Linked DNA regions of Saccharomyces cerevisiae S288C. The gene in region 3 interacts genetically with the main gene of each other region. Each region holds a gene or a part of one and is shown on either strand. Other genes may lie near its edges.

Region 1 (4,716 bases), on a different chromosome or scaffold from region 3:
ACTGGAATGGCACTTTTGGCCTTTTGAATACTCTAAGATTGATCAGAATTAATGATAAAGGTGAACAAGTCGTTGGAGGAAATGAATAAGAAGTGTCGCAGAGGAATCTTTATGGTTTATATGCTCTTTATATAATTTTATGTATATTATAGTAGAAAAAGCAAAGAAAAAAAAGAAAATTGATATTATTAGCGAAGCTTTTTCACAAATTAATCCGTAACAAACAAATTGGCAAAGACAATTGAAGGGAGTAGTGCGAAATATGGGCCGTGATATATGCACATTAGACAATGTTTACGCTAACAATTTGGGCATGCTAACCAAACTAGCTCATGTGACAGTACCAAACTTATATCAAGATGCCTTCTTCAGTGCATTATTCGCTGAGGATAGCTTAGTTGCAAAAAATAAAAAGCCATCTTCGAAGAAGGATGTACATTTCACACAGATGGCTTATTACAGTGAAATACCAGTGGGTGGTTTGGTTGCTAAATTAGTTCCTAAAAAACAAAACGAACTATCTCTCAAGGGCATTCAAATCGAATTTTTGGGCGTGTTGCCTAATTATAGGCACAAATCCATCGGTTCAAAATTACTGAAGTTTGCAGAAGACAAATGCTCAGAATGTCATCAACATAACGTGTTTGTCTATTTACCAGCAGTGGATGATCTTACAAAGCAATGGTTTATAGCTCATGGCTTCGAACAAGTGGGCGAAACTGTCAACAATTTCATAAAAGGTGTAAATGGCGACGAACAAGATGCTATCTTATTGAAAAAACACATTTCTTAACAGATGGCTGAAAAATTTTTTTTTTTTTTTTGGTTTTGCTTTGTATACACATGTATCTATTTTTATAAAGATGAAATATATACGTCTAAGAGCTAAAATGAAAAACTATACTAATCACTTATATCTATTCTGGTGATTCATCATCTTCAGCTTCTGTATCCGTATCGATATCAGTATAATCGCTAGCATCACTTTCATCATCACTTTCGGTTTCGTCGTCATCAGTAGAGTACTCATCATCCTCCTCAGAATACACCTCTACTTGTTCCACTGCAGGAGAATCACGAACTTTCATATTCATGGTAATATCCAAATCTGTAGTGAAATAATCTGTGGATTTAACGATTACTCTAAAAAAGAAATCACCAACAGTTTCAGGTGCAGGCTGACCTAATGGAATTTTTATGGTCCCGATTTCCCAATCATTTATATCGAATTTTTCGTGTTTGGTTAAATCCATTTTTATCCTCTTATCAAAGAAATCTTTGTCATCGTTCAAGTTCTTGTAAGATAGCTTTTCAATGATAATTGGCGTTTGAAGTATTTTACCATCTTTTTGAGAACTTACCAGACAGCACCAACTCCCACGTCTCTTTGTAGGGAAAAATGGTGCAAAGGAATATGGGACGAGTGGCTGTTTACTCATCATAGCAAATGGATCTCTTTGAGATTCAAAATCTTGAGGTTCTGTTAAATTTTCTTCAGGAATTAAGCTAGTTGGTATCAATGGCTGTTTAGCAGAACGAACCAGTACTTTCAAAGAAATGTATGGGGTAGATGATGGTGTTACTTGGTTCTCACCTGGGACAAGGAAGTCTGCCTTGATGATCTTTAGATTTGGAATATGCGATGCAACTCTCAAAGTTTCGTTTAACTTTGCTTGATCCTTTATTCCAAGAACCTCACCAATCTTGGCATCTTCTAAAGTAAACAATTTACCTAATGTATGAATATCTCCGGTTTTGGTAATAAAGTGCTCTTTATCTACGTTCGGCAATTGAAGGATTTGACAGTTTGGTGTTAATGGTACAGCCTGAACAATACACTTGAAAGTATTGATTGCACCCAATGCAATATCTAAATTTCTGAATCCACAAGCAATATCCAATAAACCGTGTAACAAAGAGTGACATTTGGCCACTATTCTAAATTTCGCATTGTTAAGTTTACCACTATCTCTGCGGTTAATATGATCTTGCAAAAGTTTTTCAAAATCCGTTGGTTGCAAATCCGGGAAGAATTGTTTAAATTCATGAGCAAATGATAACCAGTGTAAGATCAAATCTGTGGTGACAATCTCAGATGGCTTGTAATTGACTAAGTTACTAACAAAATTAGAAGCCGTCACATTATGTATTCCCTTCTTAGTATACGATTGTGTTCTTGCCCACCATCTACTAACAAAATATGGCAAGATTAAACCTAGTAGCGCAACATAACAAACCACTAATAATGGAGATGCACTTCCATCTACCAAAAATCTTGGTAGAGCGATACCATGTGAAGTAGATTGTGGGCCATCTGGATGACCGTATTTCAAATAGTTTTGCCTAACCAATTCGTCAGTAAGGGATTCGTAAGCCTTCGTAATCTGAACATAAGTTTCTTCCATCACACTTTTCTCATCAGGTGTTAGGCCCTTTGCTAATTTATCTGGATGAAATTTAACAGATAATTTTCTATAAGCAGATTTGATGTCTCTATCGGAAGCACTAGTAGAGATACCAAGGATTTCATAAGGATCAAATAATTTTGTAGCAGCGTCTTTAATCGCGTCATTACTATTAATCCTTTGCAGAAGAATTGCAACTAAGATCCAACCCACAATAATTATAATATTTCTCCTGCTCCATATTTTGGACTTCTTATTACTATTTTTATCAAACTTCCTTCTAAATTGTTTGATTTCATCACTGGTGTATTCTTCATTCAAGTTCTTGAAAACTTCCTCATTAAACTCCTTACTCTTCCCTGAATTCCCATCTTCAGCATTGGCCCCAAAAAAAATTTGGTATATTTGAAGCAGTGTCATAGGCCCGACGACCATCAAGAGCCCCGTTAAAATGAAGGACGGCCACGTCTCACTAGCCTCATCATACTCGTAATTTGTAGGCATTGTGCTGTAATATGCAGTATATTTATTTTGTTGCGAAGGCCTTCTTTGGTCAATTATAACTGACTATTGTTCCAGTCGCATCTTTTATTCGTTCAGTGATCTTCGACGTGTTCAAGACAAATTTTTCAGAAAACGCCTTTCCGTAACGAGTGACCAATTCGCGTTATAAGAGCGATTGTGTCAGTAATGAAGTCAGATTGTGACATTATAAAGCTAAGACGTTAATAACTCAAAATAGAAAAGAAGCATGAGAGCACCACCTTCACCGAGAAAGTCCAAATCTGGTCATTTTTTTTACCTATATTTTCGACTGTGTCAACTGTTCAGTGGCCGGAAATTAAAGAGGAGGTGGCATGTCCACAAACTTCACATTCACCAATATAATACTCGCTGGAACTTGAGCCCCCTCTCCGAAATACACATTGAGGACATGATAAATGAACCGTCTGGACTATGTCCAGGAAGTTCCAAAAAGAAACCACTACTGATTGCAAGGTTTCCCAAGGGTTGCCAAGAATCACCAAGGGTATATGTACTGCAAAGGAACAATTTGTCTCGTTTAAAATTAAGCAAAAGAAAATATGCCCTAAGGTTCTATCACAATGAAATTTTTGGCAATAATTTAAAGAGAAAAGACGGAAGCATCCACAAAGTTGAACACCAACAGTGCGCAGAAACCGTTAGAAAGATCAAGAAAGTCACAGCAAACCATGCTGATGTTAAAATAATATTTCACGATAAAAATACTATAAGAAGTGACAAATTAGGGGGTAGGAGTAATAAGATGCAGACTAGGCCTAGTGTTCTTGAAGAGGATGTAGAAGAAGAAGTCTCTTCGGTATATATCAGATTTTGTGACGACCATTCCCTGAGAGTTAAAGATTATCACTCTTTGCACAGGCATTCTAAAAAATCTTCTAAAGAAAAACGAAATAATCAGGAGATTGGAAAATCTAAGTTGCTTGGGAAGCTTTTTGAAGAGGAAACATCGCGTCAAAACAAAGGTGTAGAGAAGAAACTAGATACGATTGTGATACAGAAATTTCAAAATTATCCTATTGTCTCCTTCTCTCGTGTCATTTAACAAAAAGATATATACAAACATAGGATACTAAGAGGAAAAGCATCCCAAAAAGAAGAAATGCTTGCATGCCATGTATTACATAATTAAAGAAAAAATTTTATTAACATACTTCCTTATACTTACAATATGTATTCTTTCAGTTCAATTTATTTATACCCGATGTCATTAGTCTCTTCGACAAACAATGCAGCAGACTGATGGAGTACTTTGCCAATAAGGTCAATTTGTTCTTGAGCCCTCTTCCAGTCATCATCGTAAATCGCATCCATCACTCCTGGAAATGTCCAGAAATCTACATTTCCACCATTTTTAGATTTATCCTCCTGTATCAATGTTGGTCCGAACAAAACGTTCTTATAAAATGATCTATTAGGTAGACCCGCCGGAGAGCATGTTCTTCTACCAATATTAGTCAATTTTTTATTCCATGTCCACCTATTAATTGAAAGTAAGGAGGGCTCTATACCATCCCCATGCGACCATACTATGTTCTCCCAACCTTGAGTCCATGACGCCCATTCGCTACCGATTTTCTTCCAAAATAACAAACCTTTGATTATTGATGTGAAGTTTAGTTTTTCAGGGTATGCTTGCTCTAACCTTTGCAATCTTTCATCGATATCTTCAACATAGCTTATTATGTCAAAATGAAGTAGCGGGTCATCAATCAATTCCATACTAATATGTAAAAGATATACTAGCAAATCCTTGACAGATTGTTGG
Region 2 (3,587 bases), on a different chromosome or scaffold from region 3:
CAATCAACACATCAGGAAGATTCTGTGGCGTTGCAGAAATGGTATCGGATTTGAAAATGGATTTGGACACCAGTATATGGGAAGATGAACAAAAATATGGCAAAGCCTTTAAAGTAAGATGGGTGATCGTGCGTGATATAAATAACAGATCGTTAAAAAGGTTTTTGATACCATCCAATGAAATGAAACCGATAACACATTCCAGAGATACTCAAGAAATTCCATATTCGATTGGAATTTCAATAATTAATCTATTTAAAACTCAAGATTCTGATATTTTCTCCTTCTTGGATGAGACGTATGAATAGACCTTATCCCTCATTTATCAACATTTTATTCTCATTTATTATTAGTATTATTATTATTTTTAATATTATTTTTATTTAAAATTATCCTAAAATTACTTCTACTGTTATAACATCCAATCCATAAGAAGCAAAAACAAAGTTTTCATATTAAGCCATCGTAAAGGTTTAAGGCACCAATAATAGAGGGATCGACTTTAGAACCTTCTCTGAATTCGTCCAGCGTAATGTAACCATCTTCGTTCTTATCCATCAACTTGAAGATCTTCTTTACCCTCATTTCGGGCGTTGCCTCATCCTCATTAAGTGTAACCATAGACCCCATCATTTTATAAACACTCGCCACAATGGTTAGCATTTCATCAAATGTAATATATCCATCATGGTTCAAATCATAAAGTTCGAAAGCCCAGCTCAGTTTTTCCTCCAAAGTTCCTCTGGACGTTGTACTCAAAACTGTGATAAACTCTTCAAAATGTATGAATCCATTGTTGTCTTTATCAAAAACTGTAAAAAGGTGATTAGCAAAATCTTCAGGAGAACCAAATGGAAAAAACTGTTTGTATATCTTAACAAAATCTTCCCTAGCTAGTTGGCCACTAGGGCAATCCCTCAAAAATCCTTTATGCCATTGCTGGATTTCTCTTCTATCAAAATAGGTGGATTGTTTCAAACATGTCAGGTCATCTTTGGAAAGCTTTGACGTCTTGGCTCCCATTTTTTTTTTGAATCAAAAACAGTTTTCAAGCACAAAATAACTCTCGCCGATTCTTAAACTAGCAACAATTATAAAACAGGAGGTAATATCCCTAGTTCATCAGTTCAATCGTTGACAAATTAAACATTATTTCAGTACTCTATGGTATAATAATAAAAAATACACCGAAGAGTTACCCTTTTTTCGTTTTTAATGATCAATTCTGGCTCATTTTTTTACTTCCTGAGCAGTCAACTACTACTGAAAAAAAGAGGCTAATGGGTACGCATTTACCTAAAAACAATTAGATCCCTGCCTTGGATCGTAATCTTGTTTATCTATCCTTTTTGGACATTGACATCTATTTGTGTCGCAGTTAATTGCTTTCTGGGTACGTTGACTTTTTCAGTTCTATATCGGCCCGTTGCTTACTCTGTTCAACTCACTTATTCTTTTGTTTCGGTTTGGGCTGCTGCATTTATAGATTAAAAATAAATTTCAAATTTCCACGCTAACAAATAGAGCTAAATTAGCAGTTTCATTGTTGGCTATATTTTCATTACAACTTTTGATCTGATAACGTAAAAGAATTCAAACAAAAACTATCTAAAAAAATACAAAGCAAAAATCATGTCTACTTTACAACGTCGTAGAGTCAATAGGGCGGATTCTGGAGATACTTCCTCCATTCATTCTTCTGCTAACAATACCAAAGGAGACAAAATCGCAAATATTGCTGTTGACGGGGATGATGACAATGGAACAAACAAAAAGATTGCATATGACCCAGAAGAATCGAAATTGAGAGACAACATCAATATCCCTACGTTAACGTTGATGGAAGAAGTCTTATTGATGGGCTTAAGAGATAGAGAAGGATATTTGTCGTTTTGGAATGATAGTATTTCATATGCTTTGCGTGGTTGTATAATTATAGAATTAGCGTTAAGAGGTAAAATCAGAATCTTAGATGATTCCGCCAGGAAAAGGTTCGATCTTTCCGAAAGGTTGATTGAAGTTATTGACAGTTCCAAAACTGGGGAAGTTTTACTGGATGAAACTTTGCAATTGATGAAAAACGACGAACCTTTGTCAATTTCTAACTGGATTGATCTTTTAAGTGGTGAAACATGGAACCTTTTAAAGATCAACTATCAATTGAAACAAGTAAGGGAAAGATTGGCAAAAGGTTTGGTCGATAAAGGTGTATTGAGAACAGAAATGAAAAATTTCTTTTTGTTTGACATGGCGACACACCCCATTGCAGACGCCAGCTGCAAAGAAGCCATTAAGCGCAGAGTACTTTCTGTACTCGTATCGAGGAACATGGAATTAAGTTACAATGAATATTTTCCGGAGACAACATCTTTCAAAATCATTAGAACTTTAGCTTTAATATGTGGATCATATGGGGCAAACGTATTGGAGAATGTCCTGACTACGTTGGAATATGAGAAGAGAGATAAGGCAATTAGTAGAGCTGAAGAAATAATGGCACAATTTTCGCAATACCCATTTGATTTAGAAAAGGAAACTGAGTTAGGTGTCTCCGTTAATTTAAACAAGGAAGTTAAAGAAGAGATAGAAAACAATCCTGGTCATGATTTACAATTGGAAGTTATTGCTGGTGTATTTGAAGTCTTTTCAAGAATGGATATGCTATTATGAAAATAACAACAAAAATCCTCTCTTTGAAACATAAGGAAAAGTCAAGCTTTTTTTTATAAGCCTCTAACATTAATAAACGAAATTTGTATATATGTATATACATATACGGAGTGGATAATAAATAGACCAAACTTTTTGTTATTATATACGCCCACATTCGTATTCATTGCTTTCTTGAATCCAAATGCTTTAAATATGGAGATAAAAATCCGCCATCGCCATATTTATTCAAGTAATATTTTTTAACTCTCACATCTTGAAATATTGATGGTTTTGATGACACATTAAAGTGCAAGCCTTCATTAAATGCGTTTATCAACGACCTTGACTCATTTGCATAAGCTTCACCACATGACTCCCACCAAAAGCCTCCGCCTAAATTGTTATGTGTCACATATTCAGCCTTAGTTTTGACTGATTTAGTGTTATCATAACTGATAAATATTGAATTTTTTTCATCAAAGCAATATGCTGAAACATATTTTGGATCGTATTGTTCTATTGTACCAATCTTTGGTAAATTTTTGTAAGGCCAGATGCCCTCCTTGCCATCAGCTTTATCTATTTCTTTAGTGGGCTTGCCCACTCCTTTGAAAATTTTGTTAATTAATACAGTATTTTGATTGAATGGTTCGAATTTGTTATCTTTGATATGGAAACTTCTTCCGTAGGCGGCCATTCCCAGTACTAATTTTCTAGAATTGACGCCAAATCTATCGATCATATAATGCATGGCAAAGTTTCCATTCAATTCCGTCTCACTGAATAGATTGCTGTGATATCCTGTTGTTTCTGACCACGAGCCATAATAATCGTACGTCATCATATTCCAGTAGTCAACATATTGATCAATTTCTGTGATTGGCAAGTAAAATAATTTATCCTTGAATGCAGGTGCCGCAATAGATAATTGAAAA
Region 3 (5,394 bases):
AAAGCGTTAATTGCAGAGGATAAGGCTAGCGAACCAATTAATGGTGAAGAAAAAGAAGAAGGTGAAAAAGACGGTAATGCCGAACAAGGGAAGCAAAAAGAGGTACAAGACGAGCAAGAGGAAGTACAAATGCCGAATAAAGAGCTTGTTCAAAGAAGTCTGAAATTACTAGAAATTTGGAAGAATGATGACTCGGAGCAGATAGAACTTAAGAATTTCTTCGTTGATGTTTAACATAGAGTTCAACAACGTTGTTCAGTTGTAGTATATATTTTACTGTGAAATACGCTCAAAAAGTAGCGGGATAAATCGTTTCAGGAAGTATAATTTCTTACAAAACTATAACAAGATCGTCTAAGTAACATACATAAAGAAATCACATAAATTTTTAAAATTCGAGGTCAAAAAAATCAGGTGGATACATAACTTACCTTAAGTTATCAAGATTTTCAGTACACACAATGTGATTACACTGATTTATAAAACCACCTTACGGCCTCTTATAAGTAATAACGTGGCTCATCAAAAACATGGTAGAAGTGACCCCTCTCACCTTCGCCTAAAAACTTATCTGGAAATTTCATGTCCTCATATTCCGGTTCACTCATATGACCGTATTCATACATAGAATCCGAGTGCTCTACTAACGCTTGCTCACTCAAAACTTGGAACTTACCAACTTGTAGCTCCGTATCGGTTATCGTTCCTCTTGCAACTCTAGCATATCCTGTTCTTCTCAAGCCCCTATACAAGATATACTCACACCATCTATCATCGTCAGAAGGATCAATGTCGTGCATTCCGGATGTTTCACTAACGTACGTATTGTAGTTGCCTTCACCTGGATCAACAACTAAGTAACTTAATAAAATAGCTGGGCGAGTCGTATTGCCCATGAGCTTAGCCATGTAGTTACTTTGCAGTCTTCTATCCTCTTCATCCTCTTCTTGTCCACTATGGAATACAAAGACGTCAACGAGAGTGTCATTGTACGTTTGAAGTGTGGCATGAATGGCTGGCGCAAGTTCCCCAACTGGAGAGGGCAATAAATGATGCGTAGAATTTACGATAGGGAATTTAGAAAGAAGAACACAGCCCCAGGTATGTTTATTTGGACCTGGTCCGAAATCTGCATACATATTCAAATCATGAGCTAGTTTGCTAGTTAGATCCCTGTTCCCCATGGTAATTCTTTGTGTATCTGTTTCTAGTAGACCTACCACATCTAGTTCCATATCTTTAATAAGGTTGATCATTCTGTCTTCAGATGCCCACATATCATTATCGAGACCAAAGTGGATAGTCCAAATACCAGCTGTAATCAACTGAGAATCTGGATGATAAGGCTGAGGAATTCCTGTAGGTCTAATATCATACACGAACCTAGCTGTTAGTGATAGCAGGGCCACGGCAAAGAAGAAAACATAAATGAAGAATTTTTTGCCCATAGTCACCAGTTGAATGTTAAGGTTTTTGCATGTTAAAGCACCAATAATGATAAATGTGGAAGAAAAGGCAAGAACCGTCTCAATCTTCTCCCTCAGTACCCAGCCCATTGGAACAAATGCGTATGCAACGACCCAAACATGGGCAAGGACAAAGATAATATAAACGGAGAATGATAGGACATAAACCCATATGTTTTGAACTTGGCCTAATGCAGAAAAATACGAAGGAACTAACCAAAGCATAGCGATAGCGTACAATAAACCACCGAAAATATATTTAGGCCATTGTGTAATGCTTCTAGCTGAAAGTACAGCAGTGGATATGAGAAGCAACAAACATGGAACTAATGGCTTGCCCATAAACTTCACAGAACTCAAAGAAGCAAATAACATGACCGTACAAGTTAAGGCGCCCCAAGGCCATGGCAAGGGACCGTGTGATTCATTGTAACCTTCCCATGCCCAATAAATAGTAGTAGAAGAATCCGTCAATAACTGATGAATTCCGAATAACAACGAGCCAAAACCAACAGCCAAAAATAATTTGCCAATCAACGAAGCAGATTTTGCTTGAGCATTCCTTTTCCCTTCGAAATTAATTGAATTAACATAAGGCGACAGCATGCCGAATAAAACAGTAAGCACGAGAGCTGTCTTATTATACCCACCATTACGTTCATCTAAAATGACCCAAGTTGGATTGTTGGTATAGAACCCCATTTTCAAGATCACAGATGCAACAAGACCTAACAGCCAAGTTAGAGCAAAAGAGAAACTAGTCTCCGCATTTGTGATATATCTTAGATTTTGTACAAACGTTGCAACGGTAATGGAAGTTCCCACAGCTACAGAAATCAACCTTAATTCTGGCATCTGAACAATATAGGCACCAATGGCAATAATACCTCCTAAAAGTACACCATATTGCGTGAAGGCTTCAGAAACGAACGGCAGATATAAGAAAATGGGTCCCAAATAACCCAATATTGCAGCTTCATAACCTGAGATTCCCATATACCATAGCGGGAAATGCCAAATACTACATAACAGGGACGTAACGTTCGACCAGAAAAGAAAACCGTTAAAAATATTTGTTAGTAAGTAAAAAAAAGAGTCAAACCTGAAATATGAACCAGTTGCGCTTCTAGCAACGGGTTTTTCCTTTTCAACCTTCTTTTCACCACTTTTCTGCAATTCTGAACTTTTTTCTTCTCCATAATTTATGGGACTAGAGTCTCTAATTTGGAAAAAACTGGTATTACCGGGTTTCTCATTAAAAGCGAGAACAATATCTATCTTTTTGAAATCAGCGTAAGCAAATGCATCAAATGCAATATCTAAAAGAATCAGAGACCATTCGAAATAAGCATATATAGAATATGCCCCAGCTCTCTGTTGGACGGAGTGCTGAATGTACCAGTAAATCATCGGGAACAATGTTCCAAAAAAAATTGTAGCAGTCAACCCTTTGTTCTTCGAAGTTAAAGGACTAGAATAGCGGGTAATCATTATATCCCATGGTAACGTTAAAACAATGTATGTGATCATAAATATATCATGAATATCGTGGTCATCTGTACTTGTAATGTATACCCAACCACCGCAAGAGACTGTCCGGAGTACACCGACAAGGAAGCATACCTTAGATTGGTTCAAGTAGTAGTGACCTAGTAGCAGTAAAAATCTTGGAAAAGCAGTTAGAGCTATTAAGATTTGGAAAATAGAACGTTCCGGATAGCGGTCCCCGATAGTGGCTGATACACTAGGAAACCACTCATCTGGATACGTATAATGTGCATTGGTTACAATTTTATGAAAATGTAATGAATAACCAGTGACCAAAGCTGCAAAGAAGGCGGAGAATGCACAAATAGTATGAGCTATAGGGATGATCTTCCCATTGATGATCAGCATAACTGGCGGTGGATACCTTCTGTATTCCTGGTTACTTATTCCTCGAGAAATCGGACATTAAAAGGGTGCAAATACTGTGGAGAAATTATAAGTTACCAAGTCAAAAAGCGAATGAGAATCTATTGTTGCGATTTTTTTGGTTACTACTTCTTACCCGAACTAACTTTACATAATAAAAAAGCATGAAGCGCATATTCAGGGACTCAAAAATCCCAAACTGGCACTTCTGTATATACCGATGAGCATACTTTGATTGTAAAAAACAACATTAAAAAGAACTGCAAACCTGAACCAAGAATACTTAATTTCAAAACCGAGAAATGAGGTACAACTTGTAGAAGTTCACTTAAACTTATTGAGCATACAATCTCAACAAAACTAACTGCAAAGTTTGTTGCTATAGTCATATAGTAATACTAGCAGGAAGCCATTAATCAAAAAGAAACTCCATATAAAACGTAATAAATATTATGAATAATAGTACAATATAAGAACAAAGACGAAGAAAATACATTATAACTGAAGTGCCAATATTAGAAAAAAAAAAGGTGGAATATCCTAGTGGAAAAATATCATCTATGCGGTGAAAGAATTAAATAGATACTATGGATTGTTTCGATCTATCCTTTTATCTGCTGCTTGCCTTTTTTTTTCATTCTCCTTCTTCAGTCTTTTTCCATAGGCGAGTCCACAGGGACTACAAAGTTCCCTGTTTTGGTCGGGTCCACTACGCCATTGAATTGTCCAAGTGTCTTTACATTTAGAGCATTCCTTTATCTCACCATTTGGGAGGATTGTTTGTCTCTTTTCTCTTTTAGGACGACTAGTAGTCTTTTTGCTGTATTTCTTCGTAATACTGGCAGACCGACTAGTTCCTTGTGCACAACTATGGTAGCCTTCAAGATTGTTTGCTTCTTGGCTAGTCGTACGTCTCTCGGAATTGCATGCACTAGTTACACGATTCTTTGAGGGTGTAATTTCGTTCAAAGAGCTGGTTTTGTTCTTAACAATATTTCTTGTAAGATCTCTTAGTTGTTCGGCATTCTCAATTTTTTTTTCAACATCAACAGCCCTTATTTGAGAAAAGGATACTTCAATAAATGAGCAACTTGCATAAACTCTTCCGCGTTCCTTATATGCCTTCTTTTTATCGTTTGACTTCCAGTCATCAATTTCTCTATTTAATAATAACGTTTTCTCCATATCTGACTTTTTAACTACTCTAGTTAAGAAGGAACTTCCAGAGTTGTCATAATTATTATATCGCATACTAGCAATAGTAAATGTCTGGTTATTTACCTAGCAACCTCTTAACAAAGCGATAACAATGAAACAGCAATATAAGTCTATTTAATTGACAACATCATTGATAAAAGTTTGAACAAGCGTCTAAAAGTCGAAGAAGTTCATTTCAAAGTTTTGTGTATCGAGCTTGATGATACTTATTTAGGGATCCGCTCTAGTTTACTGTGATACAACTGAAAAACATTACAAAGCTATCGCGCCTGCATTCTCATATTAGTGGCGTATGTTTGTGTCACATTCGATACTTCTACATAATACAATGACTGAACCCTTACCGCTGGCACAGGAATACCGCGCCGCGAAAGCAGGGTCTAGGAGAAACAATAGAATTCTTGGCGATGAGAGAGGGGAAGGCTTTAATAAAAAAAAATAGCGCTTATCCGATTCTGTTGGAATAAGTGGCTATCAATATTTACATGTTGATATGGTAGTAAGGATATAAATGCTTATATTGAATATTTGGAATAAGCATCAACTATCACTTATTGAAAAGGACTCGAACAAAAAAATATGAAATGTCGAAAGCCACATCACTGAGAAGTTGTTGGATTGAAGCTCTAAAATGTCATCTTTTAGTAGTATTCGTGTTACTAGTATATTATCACATGCGGTGTAAAAAGATGACGTAAAGATTGAGAAACAGTCATCAACTGTTATGGAAGCTGAAATGCAAATATTGATAATGTAATAGGATAATGAAACGTATAAAATGAAAAAGAATAATAAA

What was found. A genetic interaction does not mean that the proteins touch.
Region 1: mutations in CWH43 (region 3) and SEC63 together harm fitness more than expected from each alone (negative genetic interaction), as found in Saccharomyces cerevisiae (2 studies listed by BioGRID).
Region 2: of CWH43 (region 3) and VPS74, changing one enhances a phenotype caused by changing the other (phenotypic enhancement), as found in Saccharomyces cerevisiae (2 studies listed by BioGRID, with this or other methods).

What each region holds. Positions count from the first base shown.
Region 1 is NC_001147.6:804,115-808,830, forward strand, and holds SEC63 (protein-transporting protein SEC63), read right to left. Parts: upstream 2,910-4,716; coding exon 918-2,909; downstream 1-917. Other genes in the region: TMA16 (Tma16p), read left to right, coding at 1-89; peptide alpha-N-acetyltransferase subunit NAT5, read left to right, coding at 263-793; OSW1 (Osw1p), read left to right, coding at 3,157-3,993; TRE2 (putative zinc metalloprotease), read right to left, coding at 4,140-4,716. UniProt on the Saccharomyces cerevisiae protein: Acts as a component of the Sec62/63 complex which is involved in SRP-independent post-translational translocation across the endoplasmic reticulum (ER) and functions together with the Sec61 complex and KAR2 in a channel-forming translocon complex.
Region 2 is NC_001136.10:1,220,195-1,223,781, reverse strand, and holds VPS74 (Vps74p), read left to right. Parts: upstream 1-1,632; coding exon 1,633-2,670; downstream 2,671-3,587. Other genes in the region: PHO92 (mRNA-binding phosphate metabolism regulator), read left to right, coding at 1-308; FRQ1 (frequenin), read right to left, coding at 451-1,023; CTS2 (putative chitinase), read right to left, coding at 2,834-3,587.
Region 3 is NC_001135.5:144,273-149,666, forward strand, and holds CWH43 (Cwh43p), read right to left. Parts: upstream 3,363-5,394; coding exon 501-3,362; downstream 1-500. Other genes in the region: RNA-binding ribosome assembly factor RBP95, read left to right, coding at 1-234; SRD1 (Srd1p), read right to left, coding at 3,966-4,631.